7 linked regions of the Xenopus tropicalis genome follow. Each later gene encodes a partner of the first gene's protein in a complex. Links are inferred from orthologs where the notes say so. Each region holds a gene or a part of one and is shown in the gene's direction. Other genes may lie near its edges. The genes, in order: sf3b5, snrpf, snrnp200, sf3a2, cwc27, snrpg and phf5a.

The links.
Region 2: sf3b5 (region 1) and snrpf share a complex: the UniProt entries of both Homo sapiens proteins name them as parts of the minor spliceosome. The link is inferred for Xenopus tropicalis from reciprocal best matches to the Homo sapiens genes SF3B5 and SNRPF.
Region 3: sf3b5 (region 1) and snrnp200 share a complex: the UniProt entries of both Homo sapiens proteins name them as parts of the minor spliceosome. The link is inferred for Xenopus tropicalis from reciprocal best matches to the Homo sapiens genes SF3B5 and SNRNP200.
Region 4: sf3b5 (region 1) and sf3a2 share a complex: the UniProt entries of both Homo sapiens proteins name them as parts of the 17S U2 SnRNP complex. The link is inferred for Xenopus tropicalis from reciprocal best matches to the Homo sapiens genes SF3B5 and SF3A2.
Region 5: sf3b5 (region 1) and cwc27 share a complex: the UniProt entries of both Homo sapiens proteins name them as parts of the minor spliceosome. The link is inferred for Xenopus tropicalis from reciprocal best matches to the Homo sapiens genes SF3B5 and CWC27.
Region 6: sf3b5 (region 1) and snrpg share a complex: the UniProt entries of both Homo sapiens proteins name them as parts of the minor spliceosome. The link is inferred for Xenopus tropicalis from reciprocal best matches to the Homo sapiens genes SF3B5 and SNRPG.
Region 7: the proteins of sf3b5 (region 1) and phf5a are in contact, whole or in part, in a cryo-EM structure (PDB 7EVN), measured with the Homo sapiens proteins. The link is inferred for Xenopus tropicalis from reciprocal best matches to the Homo sapiens genes SF3B5 and PHF5A. Residues at the interface, in NP_112577.1 of Homo sapiens: Arg4, Tyr5, Thr6, Ile7, Gln10, Leu14; in NP_116147.1 of Homo sapiens: Pro6, Asp7, Leu8, Ile9, Phe10, Cys11, Arg12, Ile88, Leu91.

The regions. Positions count from the first base shown.
Region 1 is NC_030681.2:58,017,282-58,019,795, forward strand, and holds sf3b5 (splicing factor 3B subunit 5), read left to right. Parts: upstream 1-1,436; 5' UTR 1,437-1,438; coding exon 1,439-1,699; 3' UTR 1,700-2,014; downstream 2,015-2,514. UniProt on the Homo sapiens protein: Component of the 17S U2 SnRNP complex of the spliceosome, a large ribonucleoprotein complex that removes introns from transcribed pre-mRNAs.
Region 2 is NC_030679.2:57,034,658-57,038,748, forward strand, and holds the start of snrpf (small nuclear ribonucleoprotein F), read left to right. Parts: upstream 1-1,291; 5' UTR 1,292-1,419; coding exon 1,420-1,422; intron 1,423-2,291; coding exon 2,292-2,417; intron 2,418-3,412; coding exon 3,413-3,477; intron 3,478-4,091. UniProt on the Homo sapiens protein: Plays a role in pre-mRNA splicing as a core component of the spliceosomal U1, U2, U4 and U5 small nuclear ribonucleoproteins (snRNPs), the building blocks of the spliceosome.
Region 3 is NC_030679.2:125,093,387-125,096,886, reverse strand, and holds part of snrnp200 (U5 small nuclear ribonucleoprotein 200 kDa helicase), read left to right. Parts: coding exon 1-6; intron 7-414; coding exon 415-551; intron 552-633; coding exon 634-714; intron 715-991; coding exon 992-1,165; intron 1,166-1,256; coding exon 1,257-1,394; intron 1,395-2,298; coding exon 2,299-2,454; intron 2,455-2,652; coding exon 2,653-2,823; intron 2,824-2,974; coding exon 2,975-3,168; intron 3,169-3,435; coding exon 3,436-3,500. UniProt on the Homo sapiens protein: Catalyzes the ATP-dependent unwinding of U4/U6 RNA duplices, an essential step in the assembly of a catalytically active spliceosome. Plays a role in pre-mRNA splicing as a core component of precatalytic, catalytic and postcatalytic spliceosomal complexes.
Region 4 is NC_030677.2:102,627,584-102,631,579, reverse strand, and holds the start of sf3a2 (splicing factor 3A subunit 2), read left to right. Parts: upstream 1-1,196; 5' UTR 1,197-1,223; coding exon 1,224-1,349; intron 1,350-1,431; coding exon 1,432-1,503; intron 1,504-3,996. UniProt on the Homo sapiens protein: Component of the 17S U2 SnRNP complex of the spliceosome, a large ribonucleoprotein complex that removes introns from transcribed pre-mRNAs.
Region 5 is NC_030677.2:188,226,393-188,230,426, reverse strand, and holds the start of cwc27 (spliceosome-associated protein CWC27 homolog), read left to right. Parts: upstream 1-1,234; 5' UTR 1,235-1,326; intron 1,327-1,406; 5' UTR 1,407-1,498; coding exon 1,499-1,540; intron 1,541-3,924; coding exon 3,925-4,021; intron 4,022-4,034. Other genes in the region: protein SREK1IP1, read right to left, coding at 1,041-1,053. UniProt on the Homo sapiens protein: As part of the spliceosome, plays a role in pre-mRNA splicing. Probable inactive PPIase with no peptidyl-prolyl cis-trans isomerase activity. As a component of the minor spliceosome, involved in the splicing of U12-type introns in pre-mRNAs.
Region 6 is NC_030679.2:122,085,895-122,090,194, reverse strand, and holds the start of snrpg (small nuclear ribonucleoprotein G), read left to right. Parts: upstream 1-1,500; 5' UTR 1,501-1,527; coding exon 1,528-1,559; intron 1,560-2,173; coding exon 2,174-2,196; intron 2,197-3,004; coding exon 3,005-3,129; intron 3,130-4,300. Other genes in the region: protein FAM136A, read right to left, coding at 1,016-1,102. UniProt on the Homo sapiens protein: Plays a role in pre-mRNA splicing as a core component of the spliceosomal U1, U2, U4 and U5 small nuclear ribonucleoproteins (snRNPs), the building blocks of the spliceosome.
Region 7 is NC_030680.2:120,355,630-120,358,621, forward strand, and holds the end of phf5a (PHD finger-like domain-containing protein 5A), read left to right. Parts: intron 1-600; coding exon 601-767; intron 768-2,310; coding exon 2,311-2,400; 3' UTR 2,401-2,492; downstream 2,493-2,992.

The DNA.
Region 1 (2,514 bases):
CATCTGCCATTGACTTCTACATGATCTTGGCAAGTTTAACTGGAAATTCTTAGATTTGTATTTTTAGTCATTTTGAAACAGTAAATCTCAGAAAAGGCGCAACTTTAATTTCTGCAAATTTTAGCAGAACTCTTTACTGTTGAGCTATTTTCCTCAGATTTTAAGGTAATTTTTTTTCTCCTTTTCCTTTCCTTTTTCTTTTTTTTATTTTATTACTTTATTTAGTTTGTTAACAATATTGCTTGCCTACTTTCCACTTGTGCAATTTAAAGGACATGTAAACCATACATTTTCCTACCATATATATATAAGTTGGGCACCCAAACAACTCCATTTGTACTGCATATATCCCCTGTGTTTGTCAGCACCATTACATATCCCTAAAGCAAATAGTGTCTTTTACCTGGCAGCCATTTTCCTTCTGACATCATCAGTGACATTTACATCTGCAAACAGCTCATGTGCACTACAAAGTTCATGCAATGAAGAATGCTGCCTTACGCAGGCACAACTTACTTTGATCAAACGCACAAATTTCCCCCATGTGTAACAGACCTAAAATGATTCAACAAGCTTGAATTACTTTAAAGCACATTTATTACCTACTTCAGTTCTAACTTTTTCTTTCAAGCAAAAATAATTTTTCTTTAATAGATCTTTGCTTGTTACAAGAGGAATATACTGATAGGTCAATTTAACCCTTCGGTGTTTAACCCTGTGAAAAGCCTCTCCAAGTTATTATGTGCCAGAAATGCCCTTATACTGCCAAAGTTTACATGTCTAAAATGGGTAGTGTCTTAGTTGCTCCCTTAGGGCTCTAACATCACTTTAATGTATGCATTTACAAACACATGCTGAATGCAAAAAATTAAAAACTGTGCGCACAAAATATTTTTTGTGTACATAACTGAGAAGAAATTAGAGGGGACATTGAACCCTTGCCTTTATATAACTTTAATAAATCGCAAGACTGTGTGCTAAAATCACGGATATTATCACTTTAAAGGTAAAGGTTGGAAGGCGAGTAATCTATATGCCGCTGGGTATTGTTTCATGTGTTAACATGTTGCGGAGGTTACTATTCAAAAAATGGTTTATTCCTATAGAATTGACCCAACTGCAACCACTTTATATTTTTCCATACAGCTTTCCGCCTGTTCTCTCCCTGTGTCCCACAACTGAGCATGCAGGGAGTTTCGATTTCGCTTGAAATAGGCGGGCCAATCGCTGAAGCGAAAATGAGCAAAACACTACAAAATTACGAAACTTTATTTATTTTAGTCGGCGTCGATATATTGGTCACTCCCGGAAGCAACGTAACTTCCGGCTGCTGTAACACGCTGACTTCTTTTGTCCTCCGGAAGCCAAAGGCGCTACCGCTGCATATCATAACACCAAGTCGTGTACAGTGAGCTTGCTGTTAGCGCTTGCCATCGCCATGACAGACCGATATACTATTCACAGCCAACTGGAGCATCTGCAGTCCAAGTATATCGGCACGGGCCATGCGGATACTACTAAGTGGGAGTGGCTGGTGAACCAGCACAGAGACTCTTACTGCTCCTACATGGGCCACTTTGATCTGCTCAATTACTTTGCCGTGGCTGAGAACGAAAGTAAAGCACGGGTACGTTTTAACCTGATGGAGAAGATGCTGCAGCCGTGTGGGCCCCCAGCTGATAAGCCCGACGACTCTTAAGCGTGGCGATGGTTTCTTCTCTGAGGCTGCCTGTTATGGAGTTCTTGGAGTCGATCAAACTTATCGCCGTTCGTCTTAAAGTTTCCGGGACTTAAGCAAGAGATTCCCGCCTAATCAACAGGCGTGTATCATAAAGCAGGACTGTGCTAATTCTAAATGGAGTTTCTGAATTCCAGGAGTCCGTGATAAAGTACTTTGAGGACGTTTGTGCATTTGCCTGAAGTCTCTTCGAAATCCTTGTACGACTAATCTAGGCTTTTCTTTCAACTGCTTATCACTTGTAATAAAACAATCAACTCTTGTTGAATCCTTGTACAACATACCCTTGTTAGTTTTTTAATTGTTCACTGTGGTTCACTTATTAGATTAATAAGTATGTAAAATGTTATTGTCAGGGTGCTATGTTTGGTGTTCTTGAAGAGAATCTAGCTGCCCATCCCCCCCCCCACCCAAAAAAAAAAAAAAAACTGGAAAAGGTAAACGTAGTCAGGGTGCTTTTAGTAGCCAGCAACCCTAGGGTCAGTTGCAATTAGGCTTCATAATTGTTTTTTTTTATATAGCTTTTTGTTGAGTTGCTTTCAGTTTTCATATTCTTACATCTATCTGGTTGCTATTATTTACCCTAGGCAGTGGTTTGAACTGGAATATGAATAGGAGAAAGCCTGCATAGACAGGGGAAAAAAAACCAACCATTGCCACACAGATCAATGGTTTTTGTCTGGCAGTGTTAGTGACCCCATTTTAAAGACGGAAAGAGGCAGAAGAGAAAAGCATGTAATTTAAAAAAAAAAAAAATATGAAAATCAATTGCAAAG
Region 2 (4,091 bases), on another chromosome or scaffold:
AAATTGCCCCCATAGAGAGTACCCCCAATTGCTCCCATAGAGAGTACCCCCAATAGAAAACACCCCCCATACACAGTAGCCCCCAATTGCCCCCATAGAGAGTACCTCCAATAGAAAATGCCCCCCATACACAGTGCCCCCCATTGACGCTGCTTCTTGTGGCTCCTGCTCCTTATGCGGCTCCTTCTACGGCGGCGACAGGACCTTTTATAAGGTTGCGCCCCGTGCGTACGTGTGACATCACACGTACGCATGGGCGCAACCTTATAAAAGGGCCTGTCGCCGCCGTACGAGGAGCCGAATAAGAAGCAGGAGCCACAGGACGAGACGGAGCCGGAGTGCTGGCTGCAGTCAGCGCATCCCGCTGGCCTGGATAGTTTAATGAATGTTCTGCATTTCCGTAATGCGGGACATTCATTGAACAATCCGGGACAGCGGGATGCGCTGTAAAAACCGGGACTGTCCTGCGAAAAGCGGGACAGTTGGGGGGTATGCAACCCACTTAGGGTCACAGTGTAATGCAACCCCTCTCTCACTTTTTCTTTCTTTGTAAAAAGCGCACAGATTCTGGTATAAAGGGGGACAGCTTGCATTACATTGGGAGACAAATGTGCTAAAGAGCACAGAGAAAACTATCATGGTTTTCTTTCTACCTGTGGAATCAGGTACTCCTGGGTGATATCACTCCAACTTGCAGCGCAGCAGTAAAGTGTGACTGAAGTTTATCAGTCACATGGCTGTAGCACCCTGGGATATGAAGAATATGGCTAGCCCCATGTGAACTTTTAAAATTAAATATAAAAAAAAACCTGTTGAAGTTCTATTAACCGATGCATTTTGAAAAAAAACCTTTTCTCATGACAGTATTCCTTTACCCATTCTAATTTTACCCTCCAAGTGCCACCAAGTCCTCGGAAAATCAAGGCTTCTAAATCTGGACTGTTGTGCATAATAGTGAATATAATTACATAGCGTTAACAAATAATCAAAACAAGGTACGAAATACAAATAGACGGGACGCAATGTTTGTATTTGTTGTAATTGCAGTCAGCGCAGTATAGCAACTTGCATTTATTAGAAATGCCTAATTGCGGTTCCTGGGGGAAGGCCCTGTAGTACTAGTAGTACTGAGGCGGCCCGGAGTCAGCACAGAGGGTGAGCCTTGTACAATACAACACCATTGTGAAATAATCCCGCCTCCACTGGCGATTGTTGGAGTCATGTTGGAAATCCAACTCCAGCCACTAGAGGGAGCAGTTAGCCATTCAACGCGTGTCGGCTCTCTATGGTCTTTTCTCCTGTCGCTTCCGGGCCTTGGCAGCCATTTCCCGCTTTGCTCCAGCGGTGTGTTCTACGGGACGCTCCGGGGAGGAATTTTTTTTATTGATCTGCAGTTTGTTGTGAGGCTGCGGTCGCACCATGGTAAGTACTGGAGGTGTGCGAGTTCCAGGCCTGGCGGGACAGGGGGTGTCAGTGTGTAGGGATGGGGGGGAGTGCAGGCAGCATGGTGTGTGGGGCTGTTCATTATCCCGAGTAGCAGCTTATCCCGCCGGATTTACAGAATGGGTTATGCAGTTGGTTCGGGTTTGTTTGGTTGCTTTATTGTTAGGCCTGTGTGGAAAGGCGTAACGTGTTATCTTTGCAGCGTGTGTACTCGCTAAGGGCACGTTGCACGGAAAGAGCCTGTATGTAAGGCGCGGTGTAGGCTGCGCTGAAATATAAGTAGCCATGCAGCGTGGGATGGTACTATCTCTACTGGGGATGAGCCGCGAACATGGGATGTTTGCGTCTGTTCTTAAAGCGGTGGCACATGGGAGTTGATAATTTCCTAAAGGCCATGTGTTCCTCTGCCTATCATATCTCAAGTGGTAATGCTACAAATGGCATGTTATACTGTTTGTACTGTGACTGCCCTCAGCCAGCAGTGATGTGCAGCCTTGTGGCCCTCCAGCTATTGAACTGCACTTTCAACTATCAGGAAGAATAAATAAATGCCCCTTTTTCATTTTACTGTGGTAGTGTAATAATATATAGCCTCCTACCAAAGAAAGGATGATTTCTATTAGATATGGATTTGTGGTTGTTGTTGCTGGCCGTGCCCCAAGTATCATTATTAGGCAGGTGTCCCCTTTTGGTTTCTTGGAAGGGAGCATGAGAAAACTGAGGACAAATAAAGGCAGAGATATAGTATTGAAAATGTATGCATATGATTACTTCAGGTTATTGCATGAGTTGACGTTTTAATCACAAGACCTATTGAATATTTATATTATAAATGATTATATTTTCAGAGTTTACCACTGAATCCAAAACCCTTCCTTAATGGCCTCACTGGTAAGCCAGTTATGGTAAAGCTGAAATGGGGGATGGAGTACAAAGGCTACTTGGTATCAGTGGATGGATACATGAACATGCAGGTAAGTAATAGCACTGAACATGTCAGATATTATAGTTGGTTACTTGCTGTTATAAGTTAATTTATTAGATTATTTAATAAAAAAAAATATATATTGTATGCATGTGTATATATAATTTATATTATATTCCCTTTATATTGTGCCAGAATTGTATCTGGGCTTTCCTGTTGCCATTTTAGAGCAGTGTATGAGACATTTGGATTGGATTGCCTCTGTCTCTAGTTAACACTAGGAAATTGCACAAGTAAAATGGTTTTGGGCATCAGCAGCCCATTGCTGGCAATGAAATACATTAAAGGAACAGTAACACCAAAAAATTAAAGTGTAAAAAACTAACTAAAATATAATGTGCTGCTGCCCTGCACTGGTAAAAGTTGTGTGTTTACTTCAGAAAGTCTTCTATAATTTATATAAATAAGCTGCTGTGTAGCCATGGGGGCAGCCATTCAAAGGAGAAAAGGCACAGGCACATAGCAGATAACAGATAAAACACTATTGTACTCTACAGAACTTATCTGTTATCTGCTATGTAACCTGTGCCTTTTCTCCTTTTTTCCAGCTTGAATGGCTGCCCCCGTGGCTACACAGCAGCTTATTATATAAATTATAGTAGTGTTACTGTAGCAAACACACCAATTTTACCAGTGCAGGGCAACAGTGCATTATATTTTCATTACTTTAAAGCTCTTTTATTTTTTGGTGTTACTGTTCCTTTAAGTGCTGCTTAAGGTTGCATGCAATTAGCTGGAGTGCTTGCCAGAGTGTTGTGACACTTTATAGTACCATTGCTAACCCTAGTAGCATTAGCACCAATTAGCCAGCTTAATTGCTTTTAAAACATAAGTAACAATTAATATTAATATTTCTGTATTGCAGAGTTTTTTTTTTTTATAGTAATGATGGTTGAGAAAGTAATGAGTGTCCATTATCCAAGGTTGCTGTGATGTGTGAGAAGCTTTTTCTGTTGGTTAATTCATTTATATATATTATTGCAGCTTGCAAACACAGAAGAATATATTGATGGTGCATTGTCTGGACATCTTGGAGAAGTTTTGATAAGGTAAGAATTGTGCACTGGGGATGCTTTGTAGGTGGTCACATTACAGCATATATGTCTGCTTTTCTGAAATAGAAAGCAAACTCTTGTCAGCATGTTAAGGCAACTGCATGTGCCATATAGATTGTAAGCTCTACGGGGCAGGGACCTCCATCCTCTTGTGTCTTTGACTCTTAACTTATTGCAACTGTAACTGTATCTTGTATGTATTTGTATTTATTGTTATACTTTGTATTTATCTATTATCTTATTAACCCCCTATTTGTATTAATGTATTCTACTGTACAGCGCTGTGTACATAAGTAGCGCTTTATAAATAAAAATATATATACATACATGTGAACCAGTGAAAAATGTAAAGTATATTCTGTAAAAAAAAAAAATGTACTTTTTAAATAGTTTCTTATCTAAACTGTGTAATTTAACAATTATTTAAAAAGGCAACAAATTGTCCTTTTAAATATTCTCTTTAAAGCACAACCTCCAAGGAGGCGTGAGTAGATTGCCCTTTTTTTTCTTGATAACTACCTAGTAGCAAGAATTGTATCCCTTCTCTAGAAAAACAATGTGACTGCTACCTTTTCTCTGCTAAACTGTTTAACTATTGTATTCCTTTT
Region 3 (3,500 bases), on another chromosome or scaffold:
TGATGAGTGAGTTTTTTTTCTACATTTGTGTTGGTTTATTCTGCAAGAATTCTTTTAGGGGGCCCATTTACTAACCATCGGATTTTAAGTACAAAAAGTCACAGGAAAAAAATGCTGCGACTTTTCAGAGATTTACTATTTGTCTAAACGGCTAAAAATCCATATCTGACAATTCGCAAGGTTAAACTTGCTAAGTTGATGTAAAAGTCAAGGGCAGAGGTCCCTTCCCTTTCATTGAAGATTCTTCATTTGAGGAAATGAGTTTAGTTGAGTTTGAAAATTTTTTTAAAAAAAGACAAATTTTAGAGTTTTTGTAAATGTGCCCCTTAGTGTATTGGTCTTGTTAATGTCGTCATACACACTGTAAATATCCCCTAACTTAAGGTTTTTGACCACTCTTATATTCTTTTGCAGTTATGTATTGCACACTCTTGGCCAGTGCTCAGAGTGAAGCAGAGAAAGAAAGGATTATGGGCAAAATGGAGTCCGATCCTGAACTCTCTAAATATCTATACCAATTACAGGAGACTGAAAAGGAGGACCTGATTCGGGTAAGAGATGATGTTCTTAGAGAGGAGATTCTTTTGCTGTGTTTTCATTTATAGGCATTTATATATATTATTTTATTTTCAGGAGGCACGTGGGCACAGAGACAAGGTTAGGCAGTTAAACGTAGACATGGATTTGGAGAACATGGAAACAGAGCAAGGAGAGGTAGGCATGGAATACTGTTCCAAATTAAGACTTTGTGCAGTGCCAAGGCAATGGTAAAGAAGGAACAAGTGAAGCAGGATAATGTCATTTAAAATGTAACCAATTTCTTTAAAAAGGTACCTAGATTAATAGCATTTGAAATTTTATCCTGCAGGTTAATTACATATGTAAGCCAGTAGCAAAATAGAAGCTGTATTAAGCTAATATGATAAAAGCCATTTGTTTTTTTGTGATAATCCAAGGGTCATTTTGGTTTTGTCTTTTTATTTCCATCTAGGCTTTCGCTCCTCGTCAAGTATTGGACTTGGAGGATTTGGTTTTTGCCCAGGGTAGTCATTTCATGGCAAACAAACGATGCCAACTGCCTGATGGCTCCTTTAGACGTCAGCGAAAAGGGTATGAAGAGGTGCATGTGCCTGCCCTTAAACCCAAACCTTTTGCTTCTGATGAGGTAAGTGGAGTTCTTGATATTGTTGGACTAATTTTCCTTGTGAACTTGGATTGCCTCACTTTTTAATTTTTCTTTCCTTTTACCTGTTCAGCAACTGGTCCCAGTTGAAAAGCTACCTAAATATGCTCAGTCTGGCTTTGAAGGCTTCAAGACTCTGAATAGAATCCAGAGCAAATTGTTTAAAGCTGCATTGGAAACGGATGAGAACCTGTTGCTCTGTGCTCCCACCGTAAGGACTTTTTTCCTTATAATGCAATTTGTACACTTTGCATAATGTGCAAATATACTAATAGAGCCTTTTGTAGTTCACCTTTCAAACACTTATTTCAGTTCAGGTGTTGCTTTCAGTTTTTTTCATTTTTGACCATTTTTCTTTCTTAAACTGAAGTTTCAATTTTAAGGTTGTTCTCTCTGGTGTTTTAGTCATCACAGTTATCCAGACGCAGACTTTGAACTGTTACAGTAGGTAATAACATTCCATAGATGGTGCTAAGAAATGTATCAACTAATGTAGCAAAAATGTAGCTACAGCAGCTGCTGCAGAGCAACATAGGGCCAAAGATAAGAAATGTTTCAAATTAGAACAGTTGGTGATCCCCTCCCCCTTTTCAGAGCTGCAGCTGGGAAATGTGAAAAGATGTAAAATAAAACTTTAATATTCAATTAGAAAAAAGGTCAAAACTAAAATATAGAAAACAGTTTAAAAAAAGTATTTTATTTTAGTAACTTCCTGAAAACAACTAAACTGAAAAAAGTTTTCAGAAGCCGAACAACCATTGTAATGAATGTTTTTTCACTCTACTATGCACAAGGTGAAACTGCAGCAATTCTTAAAGGATGATCAGTTTCAGACTGATGCCCAGAAGTAAACGTTTTATACAATTTAAATTCTTGCAGTGATAGACTTTCTTTTTTTCCCCCAAATCAAGCCCCTTTCCGATATCTACTGGTGAAAAATGACTATGAGTTGTCTGGGCTCCCTCCTACCTTTCCCCCATTACATTAGTGTGAAAATTAAGCATTAGGCATTTCTTTATTAATCGGAAATTAACACATTTTCCTTGTTTATTATAATGACGAAGAAAAAAAGAAATTGGAACTGTGAATTTATTTTTCTCCTTTTGTTTTTCTAGGGAGCTGGTAAAACAAATGTAGCTCTCATGTGCATGCTCCGGGAGATTGGAAAGCACATAAATGTGGATGGCACCATCAATGTGGACAACTTCAAAATAATCTACATTGCTCCCATGAGATCCCTGGTCCAGGAAATGGTGGGCAGCTTCAGCAAGGTAACTTCAATTCTTACATCCCAACTGAGCCATATTTCAATGCATAATATTGGTGCTTTATGAAGTGGGAACATGTACCTAACATGGTGTTACTTACCTCATATGCATCAATACCAACTCCTAGTGTAGCTTTTGCTTATCACAAGAAGCATTCTAACAGGGCATGTTGGGCCTTATTGTCTGCATTTTCCTTTGCAGCGTTTGTCAACATATGGCATTACCGTGGCAGAGTTGACAGGAGATCACCAGCTATGTAAAGAAGAAATTAACGCCACACAGATCATAGTTTGTACCCCAGAAAAATGGGATATCATCACCCGTAAAGGAGGAGAGAGAACATACACTCAGCTTGTCCGTCTGATCATTCTGGTGAGGTCAAGGGACTAGCAAAGCTTGCCATCTTAATCTTTTGTGCCTTGTTTCAGTGTGTAAAGTTTTAGGCAACCTATTAAGTTAGTGGACTGTCCTGGAAATGACTAGTGGAAAGTAACTTATATCTAACTTGAGACTTTTCTTCAAGGATGAAGTACACTTGCTGCACGATGATAGAGGTCCGGTGTTGGAGTCTTTGGTCGCTCGAGCGATTCGTAATATTGAGATGACACAGGAGGATGTCCGGCTTATTGGTCTCAGTGCCACTTTGCCTAATTATGAGGATGTAGCCACATTTCTTCGTGTGGATCCTGCCAAGGGGCTTTTTTATTTTGACAACAGGTATCTGCTTCAACCATAGAATTAAGAACAAACTGCATTTCTAATCATTAATGTTTACTAGTTCATGAATTATGCATCCCAGTGTTTGTGTGTGCGTTTGGCTGTTAGTGGTGCGGCCATTACAGTCATACAGTTGCATATAATAGGAAACAAGGAATGGTCACTATTAAACATAGTAGATGAGCTTGAAAAAAGAGACACATGACAAGTCTAAATTGTTTGAGAAACAATTTTACAATATTTATCTTTATTTAAACATCTTTTCAGTTTTCGTCCGGTGCCACTGGAACAGACCTATGTAGGCATTACAGAGAAAAAGGCCATCAAACGTT
Region 4 (3,996 bases), on another chromosome or scaffold:
GCCCAACCTCACTAAATCTCTTGGGCTGCATGGAAGCAAATCCCACAAACAATGTTTCAATATCTAGTGGCAAGACATCTCAGAAGAGTAGAGGATATTTAAGCAGTAAAGAGTGGACCTCATATTAATACCCTTGGATTGAGATGGCAGGAGTTTAAAACCTTCCTGCCTGTATGAAATCTACCACTTTGGGGTCATGGTACTTGCAGTGTTTTGAATGCTGCTGCTAGTAGCAGTAAGCAAAACTCCTCTATTCAAATCCTTTAAAGGAGACACATTGGATAAATGGGAAAAACCCTAATTTTGTAGGCAACTATGAATAATATATGGTACTGGTTTCACTTTGGGCTAAAAATGAATCCTATCTAAAAATGGTCCTTTTATTGGACCTCCCTATAGATCCTATCCATTCTCTGTCCGTGTTTCAAATGAAGGGTGGGCGTGTCCATAATGGTCCCTGCTAGAAGCACAGCAGGAGGGGGATAGCCAATCACAGCCTTGCACTCACACAAGCAAAGACAGGCTTCAGTTCCCAATCAGATCAGCCTAACTGCTGATTAGTTCCTATCCTACAATGCAGTGTACTGAGAGCCGCCAGCTCCCCTGCACATAAAGAGAATTCAGCCAGCAGGAAGTGGAGCAGATGGGCGGGACTAGTGGGGTTGTGGTGGAACACAACTTTTTTTAAGCACAATCCTTCTATATCTAGAGGAGTATAATTCACTGGTATATTCTTATTTTATATATATGATATCTCTCCTTTAACATTGAGTTAAATGGAATGTAGCACAGGATGCTTAGCGTCTTGTACTTATGCTAAAAAATGTTTGCATGCCCATTTTTGACCACTGCTACAATTAAGGCTGATGCCAGACGTGGCGTAGGGCTGATATTTTCGGCAAGCGGAAAAACGCTTGGCGAAAATACAAACGCGAGACTTTGCATTCTCTCACGTTTTCATGCGTATATCGGCTACATGTGCCTGCACCCGAGCGTATTCCATTCATTCGGGTGCAGGCACAAGTAGCAGGCGTAGGGCTGTATTTTCGCCACGCCATTTTCCGCTTGCCGAAAATATCAGCCCTACGCTACGTCTGACATCAGCCTTAAGGTTATGAAAACATCATAGCCCTTGCTTTGAAACATTTGCTTCAGTGGGTAACTTAAGTTTGAATTTCTCGTCAGGTGTTTGATCTTGCTTGTATCCTCGACAATCCCCAACCATGGATTTCCAACACAGAGCCGGAGGAAAGACCGGCAGCGGAGGGGTGGCTTCTGCATCTGAAAGTAACAGAGACAGAAGGGAGCGACTCAGACAACTTGCTTTGGAAACTATTGACATTAATAAGGTACTATAAATATTTAAGAGGGACCTAGGGTTGCATTAATAACAATTATTTAATTTAAAATATATATATATTTTTTTTATAGGATCCATACTTTATGAAAAACCACCTTGGCTCTTACGAATGCAAGCTTTGCCTCACCCTACATAATAATGAGGTAAGTTGAAGGAGAAAGATTGCAAGCACTCATTTTGACTTTAAAAATAGTTTTTATAAAAAAATGTGTTAGTACCACACTTTGGCCAAAATATATAACCTCACTGGTCATGTCAAGGCCCGTCATTGTATGTGAGTTGTACACTGTCTATTAGTATTCTAAGTCTGTAGTGCATTTAAAATCAAGTCCCCTGTGATGGCCATGACAAGTAAAGTTCCATGTAAAAATGGCTCATTTGATTAGTATTATAGCATATACAGGTCCTTTTCAAAAAATTAGCATATTGTGATAAAGTTCATTATTTTCTGTAATGTACTGATAAACATTAGACTTTCATATATTTTAGATTCATTACACACAACTGAAGTAGTTCAAGCCTTTTCTTGTTTTAATATTGATGATTGTGGCATACAGCTCATGAAAACCCAAAATTCCTATCTCAAAAAATTAGCATATTTCATCCGCCCAATAAAAGAAAAGTGTTTTTAATACAAAAAAAGTCAACCTTCAAATAATTATGTTCAGTTATGCACTCAATACTTGGTCGGGAATCCTTTTGCAGAAATGACTGCTTCAATGCGGCGTGGCATGGAGGCAATCAGCCTGTGGCACTGCTCAGGTGTTATGGAGGCCCAGGATGCTTCAATAGCGGCCTTAAGCTCATCCAGAATGTTGGGTCTTGTGTCTCTCAACTTTCTCTTCACAATATCCCACAGATTCTCTATGGGGTTCAGGTCAGGAGAGTTGGCAGGCCAATTGAGCACAGTAATACCATGGGCAGTAAACCATTTACCAGTGGTTTTGGCACTGTGAGCAGGTGCCAGGTCGTGCTGAAAAATGAAATCTTCATCTCCATAAAGCTTTTCAGCAGATGGAAGCATGAAGTGCTCCAAAATCTCCTGATAGCTAGCTGCATTGACCCTGCCCTTGATAAAACACAGTGGACCAACACCAGCAGCTGACATGGCACCCCAGACCATCACTGACTGTGGGTACTTGACACTGGACTTCAGGCATTTTGGCATTTCCCTCTCCCCAGTCTTCCTCCAGACTCTGGCTCCTTGATTTCCGAATGACATACTTTGGACCACTGAGCAACAGTCCAGTGCTGCTTCTCTGTAGCCCAGGTCAGGCGCTTCTGCCGCTGTTTCTGGTTCAAAAGTGGCTTGACCTGGGGAATGCGGCACCTGTAGCCCATTTCCTGCACGCGCCTGTACACGGTGGCTCTGGATGTTTCTACTCCAGACTCAGTCCACTGCTTCCGCAGGTCCCCCAAGGTCAGGAATCGGTCCTTCTCCACAATCTTCCTCAGGGCCCAGTCACCTCTTCTCATTGTGCAGCGTTTTCTGCCACACTTTTTCCTTCCCACAGACTTCCCACTGAGGTGCCTTGATACAGCACTCTGGGAACAGCCTATTCGTTCAGAAATTTCTTTCTGTGTCTTACCCTCTTGCTTGAGGGTGTCAATGATGGCCTTCTGGGCAGCAGTCAGGTCGGCAGTCTTACCCATGATTGCGGTTTTGAGTAATGAACCAGGCTGGGAGTTTCTAAAAGCCTCAGGAATCTTTTGCAGGTTTTTAGAGTTAATTTGTTGATTCAGATGATTAAGTTAATAGCTCGTTTAGAGAACCTTTTCATGATATGCTAATTTTTTGAGATAGGAATTTTGGGTTTTCATGAGCTGTATGCCACAATCATCAATATTAAAACAAGAAAAGGCTTGAACTACTTCAGTTGTGTGTAATGAATCTAAAATATATGAAAGTCTAATGTTTATCAGTACATTACAGAAAATAATGAACTTTATCACAATATGCTAATTTTTTGAAAAGGACCTGTAGATGCTGAGTTGTTTCATTAATACCTGTCATTGCCCCAGCCCTTCCAAACATCAGTTAATATGAGGACGCACTCATAATCATCCACCGTGTAGATAATGTGCAAATAAAAAGTAGTTTATTTACAAAAACAGCATGCAAATAGCCTTGTGCATTTCATGCCTAAGTGGGCACATAAACAAGGGCCATGATGGAAATGGTTGGTATTAATGTAAGTGTTTGTGAGAAGGATCTGTGCCTTTTGAATTGAAAATATATTGGCAATGCAAAGACTTTGAGCTAATAACTCAAACTAAGTAGTAATACATCTAGTAAATGTTTATGAGTAAAGTTGGGGATATTAAAATTGCAAATGTATAAATCACTTTGACATTATGCAGCTACTGGGAATTTCCAAAATAGCTGGGGCTAAAAATGCAAAGCAGTGGTATGTTGTGTTGCAAAAGTTCAATAGAATGAGCTGGCAGGTGCGTTTAGACACTAATGGGATTATGTAATAAAAAGCACTGAGTTTGCCCAGGTGCTGTGACCTATAGCAACCAATTAGCAGGTTGCATTTACTGGTCACCTGTTTAAAAGAAAAAATCTTATTGGTTTAAAAGGCATAAAGGTCATTTTCTTATCGCATAATTTTATTTTTTTTATTGTGACATGC
Region 5 (4,034 bases), on another chromosome or scaffold:
TTAGTCGCCCGCAACACGGGAGATTTGTCGCGGGCGACTAATCTCCCCATGTACTAGAGCCCTAAGGGTACAAACCCACTGAGTGAGTTAGGAGAGATCTATCACATGTGAGTAACTGCTTCGAAAAGGCTTTCCACAGGTAACAATAGAAGTCGCTGGTGGAAAGCCCTTTGTATCGTTTCGTGTTCCGAAGTTGCACAAAGTTTCCTCCTGCAGGCAACTCTGCGTGAGTAGTCCTTTTTGGAGCAGCTACTCGCATGCGATATTGTGGGCAAGTAACTCGCTCGGTGGGTTCTTAGCCTAAAGCTGGCCATACACGGGCAGATCCGCTCGCTTGGCGATGTCGCCAAGCGAGCGGATCTTCACCCGATATCACCACCTACGGGTGGCGATATCGGGGAGGAATTTCGGTGAATTCGATCGTTTGGCCCTGGGGCCAAACGATCGAATTCTGCAAGCAGCAATGGGGCAGTCGGTTCGGGGACCACATCAACGAGCCGATGCGGTCCCCGGTCTGACAGGATTTTCTAACCTGGCCGACCGATATCTGGCCAATTTCAGGCCAGATATCGGTCGGCCAGTCCGATCGTTTCTGCCCCTGCACGGGCCGATAAGCTGCCGAGTCGGTCCAAGGGACCAATATCGGCAGCTTCTATCGGCCCGTGTATGGGGACCTTAAGAGCCTGAAGACAAAGGCAGAAACAACCGAAAATATAAAATGAAGACTAGTTGAAAAGTTGCTCAAAACAGGCTATTCTATAACATACTTAAAGTTTAACTGAAGGTGAACCACCCCTTCAAAAGCAGAAAAAAATGATGTCCTACGTATTTTGGGGACTCGGGCATAAAATAGCGGGGGATAAAACTAATTGGGTTGGGGAGTTGGGTTGTGTGCGTACAGTGTACAGTACAACATAATGCACTTTGCAGAGACTTTACACATGTCGAGTTCAGACTCGAGCCTGTATTATAAAAGTCCTCTCTATCAAAATCAGATGGATCAGGTGAGGTAAAAAACGTGATTTATAAATCAGACTAACCTGGGACAGCCATAAGTCACAATTCTCAGCGTCCGTACACAGAAGATCGCACCCCTCAAACAGTTACTGCGCGCCTCCTAACCAATTCACTTCCTCGGAACTCAATCACAGCATGGACTTGTTTCTCAGCGGAACAGAATAAGCGGTGCGCAGTGGAACGCAAATGAAAGCTCTGGTTTCCGGGAAGTGTACTTTCGGCCACACTAAGAGAAAGGGGGGAACTAAAGCAATGCAACTCTGGTGTAATCATCCTCTGCTGTAGACGCTGTGATCTTGGAGCATTCGGGTAACAAAATACGAGCTACTATATAACTGTGGATGGGACGAGTCCTGTTAACGCTCTTTGCTGTGTCATTTTTAAATCAGAATCTTCTCTGGCACCCCTCTGAGGCTGTATGTGGGCGGTCCCGTCCTGTCAGGTTGCACGCTGGAGTTTGTTTGCAAGAAGCTGAGTAACAATGAGCAATATTTACATTCAGGAGCCGCCGACAAACGGCAAGGTGAGCAGCGGGAGAAAGTAAGGGGCTTGTAGGGCAGAAGGATAAAGGAATAATATTTAGCATGGGATTCCCATCTGCTGTTGCTGAAATATCTCTCCCAGCGCGGTACCTGATAAAGGAAATGTAAAGTCTATAAGTAAATTTACTCAATGTTTTTCTGTGAAAATACATTTCCCAGGGTAAATGTTTTAGTTTCGCGTCATGTAGCTGCCCCCCCCAGCTGTCAGCACATTGGTATAATCCACATGGGGAGCAGAGAGGACTGTGCTGCGCTTTATGGAGACTCCTCCTGCATATTCAGCCCTAGGACAGAGCTTCTGAGCTGACTAACTAATGTCCTGCTAGGAAGGTGCCCAAATGCACCAGTGCAGGCTGTCCTTTAGTTACATGAATGGGCTCCAGGCGAACCCCAGCCACATATATAGGCTATATACCAAACTAACATACCTAAACTATATATACCAACATCAATACTAACTGTAGATATTAGTATCACAATAGCCTTGGATATTCTGCTTGTTCAAGAACTCATCCAGGCCCCTCTTATAGGCATTAACAGAGTCTGCCATTACCACATCACTAGGAAGGGCATTCCCCAACCTCACTGCCCTCCCCGGGGCGTGAGGAACCCCCTACGCTGCTTCAAATGGAAGCTCCGTTCCTAAGGGGGGGCCTCTGGTGTGGTGGTTGTTTTTATGGGAAAAAAAGAACCCCCCCATCTGCCTATATTCCCCTCTAATGTACTTGTACAGAGTAATCATGTCCCCTCGCAAGCGCCTCTTTTCCAGAGAAAACAACCCCAACCCTGACAGTCTAACCCCATAGTTTAACCCTTCCATCCCCTTTACCAGTTTAGTTGCAGTCTCTGCACTTTCTCCAGCTCATTAATATCCTTCTTAAGGACTGGAGCCCAAAACTGCACTGCATACTCAGGGTGAGGCCTTACCAGGGACCTATAAAGGGGCAAAATTATGTTTTCATCCCTTGAGTCAATGCCCTTTTTTTAAGCACTTTATTGTAGCCACAGAATGACACTGCCTAGAATTAGACAACTTGTTATCTACAAAAAAAACCAGATACTTCTTTATTAAGGATCCCCACAACACACTACTATTTAGTGTGTAATATTATTACATTATTATATTATTTCTACCCAAGTGCATAACTTTGCAGTTTTCAACATTAAACCTTATTTGCTGCCCAGTTTTCCAGCTTTGTCAGCTCTGCAAAGCGGCAGCATCCTGCATGGAACTTATAGTTTTGCACAATTTAGTATCATCAGCAAAAATAGAAACAGTACTTTCAATGTCCACCTCCAGGTCATTAATAAACAAGTTAAAAAGCAAAGGACCAAGGACTGACCCCTGCGGTACTCCACTAACAACACTGGCCCAATTAGAAAATGTTCTATTTACCACCTCTCTCTACACTGTAATCTATCCTTCAATCATTTATTTATCCAATTTAAAATATTATGTTCCAGTAGTGCTGGGCGGTATACCGGTATATACCGAACACCATTTTTTTAAAAAAAAAATGATAAAAATTTTTAACTTACCGGCATACCGGTGTGGGCGCCTCCTGGCAATTTTTCTTACTATTTCCGGGTTGTGCGCGCTGACGTCGCGCGTGCAACCCGGAAATAGTAAGAAAAATTGGGGGGGGGGGGGTGTTTGGGGTGGTCACCTAATCATGCATGGGGAAAAAAAAATACCGTCAAATACCGTGATACCGATATAATAAAAAAAATACCGTGATATAAATTTTTGGTCATACCGCCCAGCACTATGTTCCAGGCCAAATTTTACCATTAACTTTCTGTGCAGTACTGCTAAATGCTTTAGCAAAGTCCAAGTAGATCACATCCACTGCCATCAACTTGCTCACCTCCATATTGTTGCTCAATGTCATCCCATTTCTTTCTATATGATGTACCCATAAGTATCTCCTGAACTACGCTGTGATAATTATATATCTAGTTCCATGTAAGAGGTAAAGAAGGTCTACAGCAGTGAGCCCCAACCAGTGGCTTGCAAGGAACATGTTGCTCCCCAACCCCTTGGAAGTTGCTCCCAGTAGCCTCTGGCTTGGATGCAAATTTTGGGGGCATAAAGACCATGTGTACTGCCAAACTGAGCCTCCTGTAGTCTGCCCATCCACGTTGGGCTACCTAATAACCAGTCACAGTCCTCATTGTAACCCCTAGAAAACTTTTTCGTGCTTGTGTTACTCCCCAACTTTTTTATATTTAAATAATGCTCACGGGTAGGGTAGGATGTCCTGTGTGAACTTGTGTCATACTATATGCCACACGTGAAAGACAAAGGCAGCAAGAAGAGGAAGAAATCCTGCCCAAATAATAATTTTTACTACCACTTTTCCAGGTTTTGCTGAAAACAACTGCTGGAGAGATTGACATTGAATTGTGGTCAAAAGAGGCACCAAGAGCATGCCGAAACTTTGTACAGCTTTGTTTAGAAGGTAACGTTGCAAA
Region 6 (4,300 bases), on another chromosome or scaffold:
ATTAAGTGGCCTATTAAACAATTTCAACATTAAAATATATGTATATAGGGATGCACCAAATTCACTATTTTCAGATTTGGCCGAACCCTGGATCCTTTGTTAAAGATTTGACCGAATTCCAAACCAAATTTGTACATACAAATTAAGGCAAGTAAGGGTTAAAGAGAACCCCACGCAGAGTGTGACAAAAAGACAGGTGTTTTTAAAAATTCGGATTTGGTTCGGCCAGGACCTTGGATTAGACTTAATCCTGCACCGAATCCCGGATTCAGTGCATGCCCTTGGTGTGTTTGTGTGCTACAATAGCAGGAGGCCCTTAATATATAAAATGGCAATTTTCTATGTAGGATTACCCAATAGCACGTGCTACTAAAAGAAGTATATTTTCATGCAATTTATTTAGAAGATGCAGGGTTTTACATCTGAGCTGTTTATGCAATATATTTTTATAGAGACCTACATTGTCTGGGGTATAGATTTCCTTTGCTAAGAGGCTTGGGCCACACTGTGGCTTTCAAACATAAGTTTTACTCATTTGAACTTTTTGCCCCAGTTTCTTTTTCCCCCAGTTTCTTTTTGCCCCAGTTTCTTTTTCCCCCAGTTTCTTTTTCCCCCAGTTTCTTTTTGCCCCAGTTTCTTTTTGCCCCAGTTTCTTTTTGCCCTACCCATTTCTGATGAAGTTTGCAGCAACAGTACTTGCGGTTTAATGGTAAGGAACAGAAACCTGAACAGAAAGATAAGTCCCTGTGCTAAGCAAATGTAGCAGGAAAACTAGTATGTTATATTAAAGGACAAGTAAAACCTGGTATATAAGGCATCCCACAGCCATTAGTCCTGTACATTAAAAATGACCAATTCCTATTGGACCCCCAGGCATTTGTGCCCCTTCCATTCAAGTGCATGGGAGTGCTACCCCAGGGGGACTTTGAATGGCAGCAGAGTATAATAAAAGAAGTAATGGAAGATGGGCTGTAACGCCCTATGACATAAGACTAATTACACCAGACTATGGTACCTGCATTTTCCTAATGTTGTCCCTTTCCAAGCTCTTCACCATAGTGTCTATCGCATTTTGAAGCCGGTTCTGCTGTTCCTCTGCCATGTCTGACAAGCGTGTGCTCCAAGGGCAACGCACCTCTCTTCCGCCCTTACACATACCCTTCCGGTTACGGCTTGCCCTTACTCTAACTCTACGGCATCTACGTTGTTTTGCGGCAGACATCTAAGCTGACCGACTAGCTTCCATAGCCCCAAGTTTTTGTTAAATTCTTCTATAACCAATCAGGGAAAACGTATATATGTAATCAAATTTGCAATATTTCTTATATACTTTAATATTTGATACACAATGTTATATTTAGCCCAACTAAAGCCGGCTAACGCGTCTCCTTTGTATTCTTTGGTGGTCGTCATAGCGACCGTGGGGGTGGGCGGGGAAGCGCATACACGTAAGACGTGCTTACGTCACATTAAGGCGACTGCGTTACTTGGCGGCAGCGACCGGGGCTTTGTACACGAGGAACGAAAATGAGCAAAGCGCACCCGCCCGAGCTGAAGAAGTAAGGAACGGCCCGGGGGGGGGCAGTGAGGGGCAGAGCGGAGGGGGCAAGTGAGGGGCAGAGCGGAGGGGGCAAGTGAGGGGCAGAGCGGAGGGGGCAAGTGAGGGGCAGAGCGGAGGGGGCAGTGAGGGGCAGAGCGGAGGGCAAGTGAGGGGCAGAGCGGAGGGGCGGCTTAGGCTGTAGCCGGGGAACATACACCCAAACCTGCAGCCTCCATTGCGCTGTTTCATGTTGAATGGCCCGTTTTGGAGCATGGAGGCTGCAACCACATCATTCACACAGAAAGAAATGGGGATCTTTTCGATTCCCACATATCTTCCAATTATATTTTGTGGTCAAACTGATTGATTGCCCATATATTGCAATATACTCCAAGCTGGCCAACTACATCAGTCGCAGTCATAGGATTCATTAAGGATTCTAGTATTTCATAATGTGCACATGGATCTCTGGGAAGAGTGAAGTAGCTCTTATGCCTGATACTAACCCTATAAGGGAACTGCATTGGCTTCTCTTGGGTCCCTAGTCTAGTGATCTGAGCACAGGTGATTAGGTCTTGTTGAGTTATTATTATAATATAATGTATTTAAATGTTGTGTACTTTTTACTTTTAGGTTCATGGACAAGAAACTGTCTTGTAAGTATTGAAAAATTTTCCATCTACTTGTAAAAAGAAAAAAAAATAAAGGAAAACTATACCCCCCAAACAATGTAGGTCTCTATAAAAATGTTTCATAAACAAGCTCATATGTAAAACTAAATTAATCTAAATAAACCATTTTCTTAAAAATATTATTTTTTTAGTAGTATGTGCTATCGGGTGGTACTAAATAGGAAATTGCCATTTTATGAATTAAGGGCCACCCCCTGGGATCATAGGATTCACAGTGCACACAAACAAGCCAAGACACACATACATGTTAGGCCCCATCAGCCAATGAATGGGCAGAGTTCTGCCTTTTGCTCCCACACTACTCCCTGTTACAGTCAGAGCTGCATTATTTCCTGTCAGCTGATCTCTGAGGGAGCACACAGCCCATCACTAAATGGTGGCTCAAGGGAAAGGATGTAAAAGGGCAATATTTACTAATATATATTCCAGTTTGACAATATTCTTTAATAGGCCACTTAACAAAATATAAACTATCTGTTGGTTAAGTATTCGTTCTGGGGGTATAGTTTTCTTTTAAAAAATAAAAATATATATGATGAGGTCTGTGCTCGGACCTTATTCAGGTGCTTGGCCAAATAACAGTGTTATTTAGAATAAGAAGCAGCAGAGAGATGGTGCAATGAAGGATTTATTCAGGATACAGGACTGCTGTTCCTCACTCTATATAAATATATGCAGTTATAAGGGAACTGTACCAGGTGACTCCCCAAACCAGTAAACCACCAAAACCTTGAAGCATCTGATCAAATTTCCTTTCTTTTCTTTCTTTCAGTGAAGTTAAATGGTGGGAGACATGTCCAGGGGATTCTGCGTGGCTTTGATCCCTTCATGAACCTTGTAATAGATGAGTGCACAGAGATATCAGGGGGTGGCCACCAAAACACCATTGGAATGGTGGTAAGTGTTAGACTGAGCTGCAACATATATTGTATGGTCCCTTACTGTGTGTGTAATTTAGGGTGGCCGTTCATGGTCAGATTTTCCAATTTTTAAACTAACATTTGAGGACAACGCAACGCAAAATATAATTTTTTGCCTAATAAAAGAAAACAGAATTCTCAGCTTTGCAATATACATTTATTACAAATTTGTAATGGTTTTTGAGTTATTTGTATATATAATTGCTATTAGAAGCAGTGTTTGTCTGTCCTTTTCTATTCTCTGCCCTGGTGGCTCTGGCATTTGAAACAATGTAACACAAGGCAGCCAACTGACAGACCTGACTTGGGGAAGGAGACTGACTTTTGCAACATTGTTTAAAAAGTAACCACCAGGAGTTCGGCAAATGCTGCTTTCAATAGCAATTACATTTACAAATGGCATTTAATCATACAATGTTATCCACAGAGAAGTAGCACGTTAAAGATGTCGTCATTTTGTTGCCAAAAGGTAAAGTAATATTGTGCATCTACAATGCTATATCAGCTTGTGGCGGAAGCAGTATAAACAGGAAGTGATGTATTTTTCATCAATTTTTATCGATATTGGTATGCTATTTGCTATTACAACAAGTGAACGAATGAGTTCTGCTTGTTTGTAATGTGGCTGGTTGCCTTGGCTTGCTGGTATTGCAGCAAGGTATTCTTTTGCCTGTATTTATATTTACCAACAGCATGCACATGACTTTTCATAGTGTTTATGTGGTTAAAATGTAGGGTTGGCAACAAACATTTGGGTCTTGTCATATGCGTTCGTTGACTTCTGCAGGTACTGCCAATATATGCACAGAAAGCGACTGTTCAACGACAACTTTCACACCAACTCTTATCGTTGCCCAACTGATATTTTTAAGAATGTTGGGCCAATTAGTAAATTCTTACATCTAGAATTGTTTGTACACTACCAGCTATACAGTTTGTCCTGAAATCAGTCGTGAGACTACAAAATCTGAGCATGTATGGCTGCATTTAGTGGAATATGGTCAGATTATTAGCAGCTAATATTGCAAAGTGTATTGGCTTCTGTGAAGTTCAGATTAAATAATGACTAATCGGCTGAGCAGCTTTAGTACTTTAAAGATGGCCAGTTTAAAGAGAGGGATCTAGCCCATGTTTTCTGGGTAGGATGA
Region 7 (2,992 bases), on another chromosome or scaffold:
AGTTGGAGCTGAATAGCCTTGTCTTTTTGAGTTTAATTGATTTGTAACATTTTTCAGTCTTACCATGTATAGTTATAGTATTACAAGTCTTAAAGGGTAAGGAATTAATTAGGGAGTCCCTAAGGAATATAATCCGTTACCTTGGATTTTGGGCTTGCTCTCCTCTTTACTGAAAGGTGCACTAGCATAGTGGTGTATTTCATTAGCACAGCACAGCCATCTTCCAAATGATCCCTTGGCATGTACTATAGGCTTGCATAGGAAATTGTGTGCAGTAGAGTAAAATCAGGGATTTATCTTTCCTGCATGTGTGCGTAATCAGCTGCAAGGGATTCCTGGGACTTTACACAAGATGGCAACAGAGAATGGAATGGAAACTTGGACCAGTCCATTTTTCAGCAAACGAGTGGATTTTTTTAATTTACCATCACCCAGTTAGTCACCTTAGAGAGAATAACACTCTCATTGCCCTAATAAACCGACACTGCTTGCCATGTCCTTTTATCTCTGTTACAGGAGCAAAAAAAAAAATGTGCATATCTGGAGAGTACCCAAGCCTGTTAAGAAATTAACAATTTAATTATTTTTTTTAATCTGCAGGTGATGGGAAGTGTGTGATTTGTGACTCGTATGTACGCCCGTGCACTCTTGTGCGTATTTGTGACGAATGTAACTACGGCTCTTACCAAGGGCGATGTGTGATCTGCGGAGGGCCTGGGGTTTCAGATGCTTATTACTGCAAAGAATGCACCATCCAGGAGAAAGATGTAAGTAAAGACAAAATAAAAAAAAATATATAGCAAAAAATAGCTGCATTCGCTTATTAGAGAGTGTGCCTGGGTGCACACCGCCGAAGAGTAAATATAGACTTTCATATAAAGCAGGGCACTCACAGGATTTAAAAGTATGGTGAAAAAGAAATAAAGTTTATTTGTTATTTCAACGTTTCGGTCTTCCTTGATAAAGGTCTCAAGGAAGACCGGAATGTTGGAATAACAAACTTTATTTCTATAATTTAGAGTTGAAGCTGCCATTTTTAGTTACTGTCAGAAATGGTTAATGTTTCCTGTGCTATTAAATTACATGTTTTGTGTGGTCTTTACTGATTAAATTAGTTTAAGTGAGGGATCTAGAACCCAGAATCCCATTATCCAAAAGATGTTAGTAAGGGAAGAGTTGCTTGCTTTATTTTTTTCTCTAATAATTAGACCGTATCTTGCACTTGGTGATAATGAAGCTGCATATAATCGGTAATGATGGCAGCACATGTTGGATATTCATAATTGTTGTATTTATTTTGGTAGCCTTAGGGCACAATGCTCCAGTTTACAGAAGCACCCTATATTCGGGAAAACCCCAGGACCGTGCATTCTGTATACACAAAATCTTTTCCCAAGGCAAGCTGTATCACTTCCCATTTTCTTATGTGACATGCAGGAATAATCTGGTTTCCTAATTTTCCATCTAAATGTACTGCATTTTTCCTAAACTATTAAAGGATATTTTTTTCCATGTTCTTCCACAGTTAGTTACATAGTCATCACCTAAAAATTCCCTTTTATGCCTTTTTTTTTTTTCATAAAAGCTTAAAAATCTTCTGTTACTTTTTTGTTACATTACAAGATTTTTACATTGCCTTAAATAGCACATGGGCAATTATGTGCAAATTCACAACACCAAAGGAGCCAAAACCATCCCACTTCTGTAATGACAGTAGCCTGGAATTGTGGTCTGCAAGAACATAAGTGCCAGCATCTTTTAAAAAGAAAATTTTTTTTTTCAGAAATACAGGAATTTTTTTTCTTTTTTGGAAATATACACAATATTAAGTATTGTTTTCAGGTAAAACACATCCATAGCCATTATAAAGGCATTTAAATATCACAGCTGCCAATCATGTATTGCCTGCCCTGCCTCTATGCCTAGGCATAGAGGCGGGGCAGGCAGTTACTTTTATTTTCCATTCAGAACTCGCTTTCCCCGTTTCTCCTCACCATCTAATTGTGTAGCCAGTACGTGGGTATGGCCCCCCCATTCTGGCTAATATACAAGATTTTGGGGTGATACAAAGCTAGCTTTAATAAGTGTCTACAAAATGGAACCTGCCTGTTTGCTGTGATTATGTAATTCCAAGACTGAAGGAAACAAGATGTATATTATTTATATATTGTAAGTGAAGTTTATTTTGCTTGACAAACACAATAGAAAATTATTTGGAATTATTTCTTAGGGTGACAGGCCCCCTTTAATTACTTGTGTTTATAGTTTTGTTATTAACGTTTTCATTACTTTTCTACATCTATTTTGCAGAGAGATGGTTGTCCCAAAATTGTAAATTTAGGCAGCTCCAAAACAGATCTCTTTTACGAAAGAAAGAAGTATGGATTCAAGAAGAGGTGATCCTGCCTTTGGATTTTCTGTGTGATCTTATCTTTTTGTGAAAAACTGATTTTGTAATGTTGAAGAAATCATTAAAATGTCTTTTACAACAATGCCCCTTCTCATTTAACATCTTCTTTTATCCTATAATGTAAAGAAACCATTAAATACATTTAGAACAGGTTGCAAGGTATTTAGGCTTACTCTTTATAATGTGCAACAAAAGTAGTGGTATACTGTTAACCTGTGGCGAATAACTGTGGCACCAAGGGAAAAGGATATCATACCTCCCAAGTGTCCCATGGAGTCACGATCTTTAACTGGCTGCCTGCAGTCCTGGATCACCTATTAAATGTCCAGCACTGGATTTTTTTTAATAAAAATATATATTTTTTTTTCTAGTAGTAACTGATCTCATACCTGTATTTGCCACTACCATTTTAAAGGGGTGGTTCACCTTCAAGTTAACTTTTAGTATGTTAGAATGGCCAATTTTAAGCAACTTTTCAATTGGTCTTCATTATTATTTATAGTTTTATCATTATTTGCCGCCTTCTTTTGACTCTTTCTAGCTTTCAGATTGGGGATCACTGACCTATGCTCTGCTAGCCTA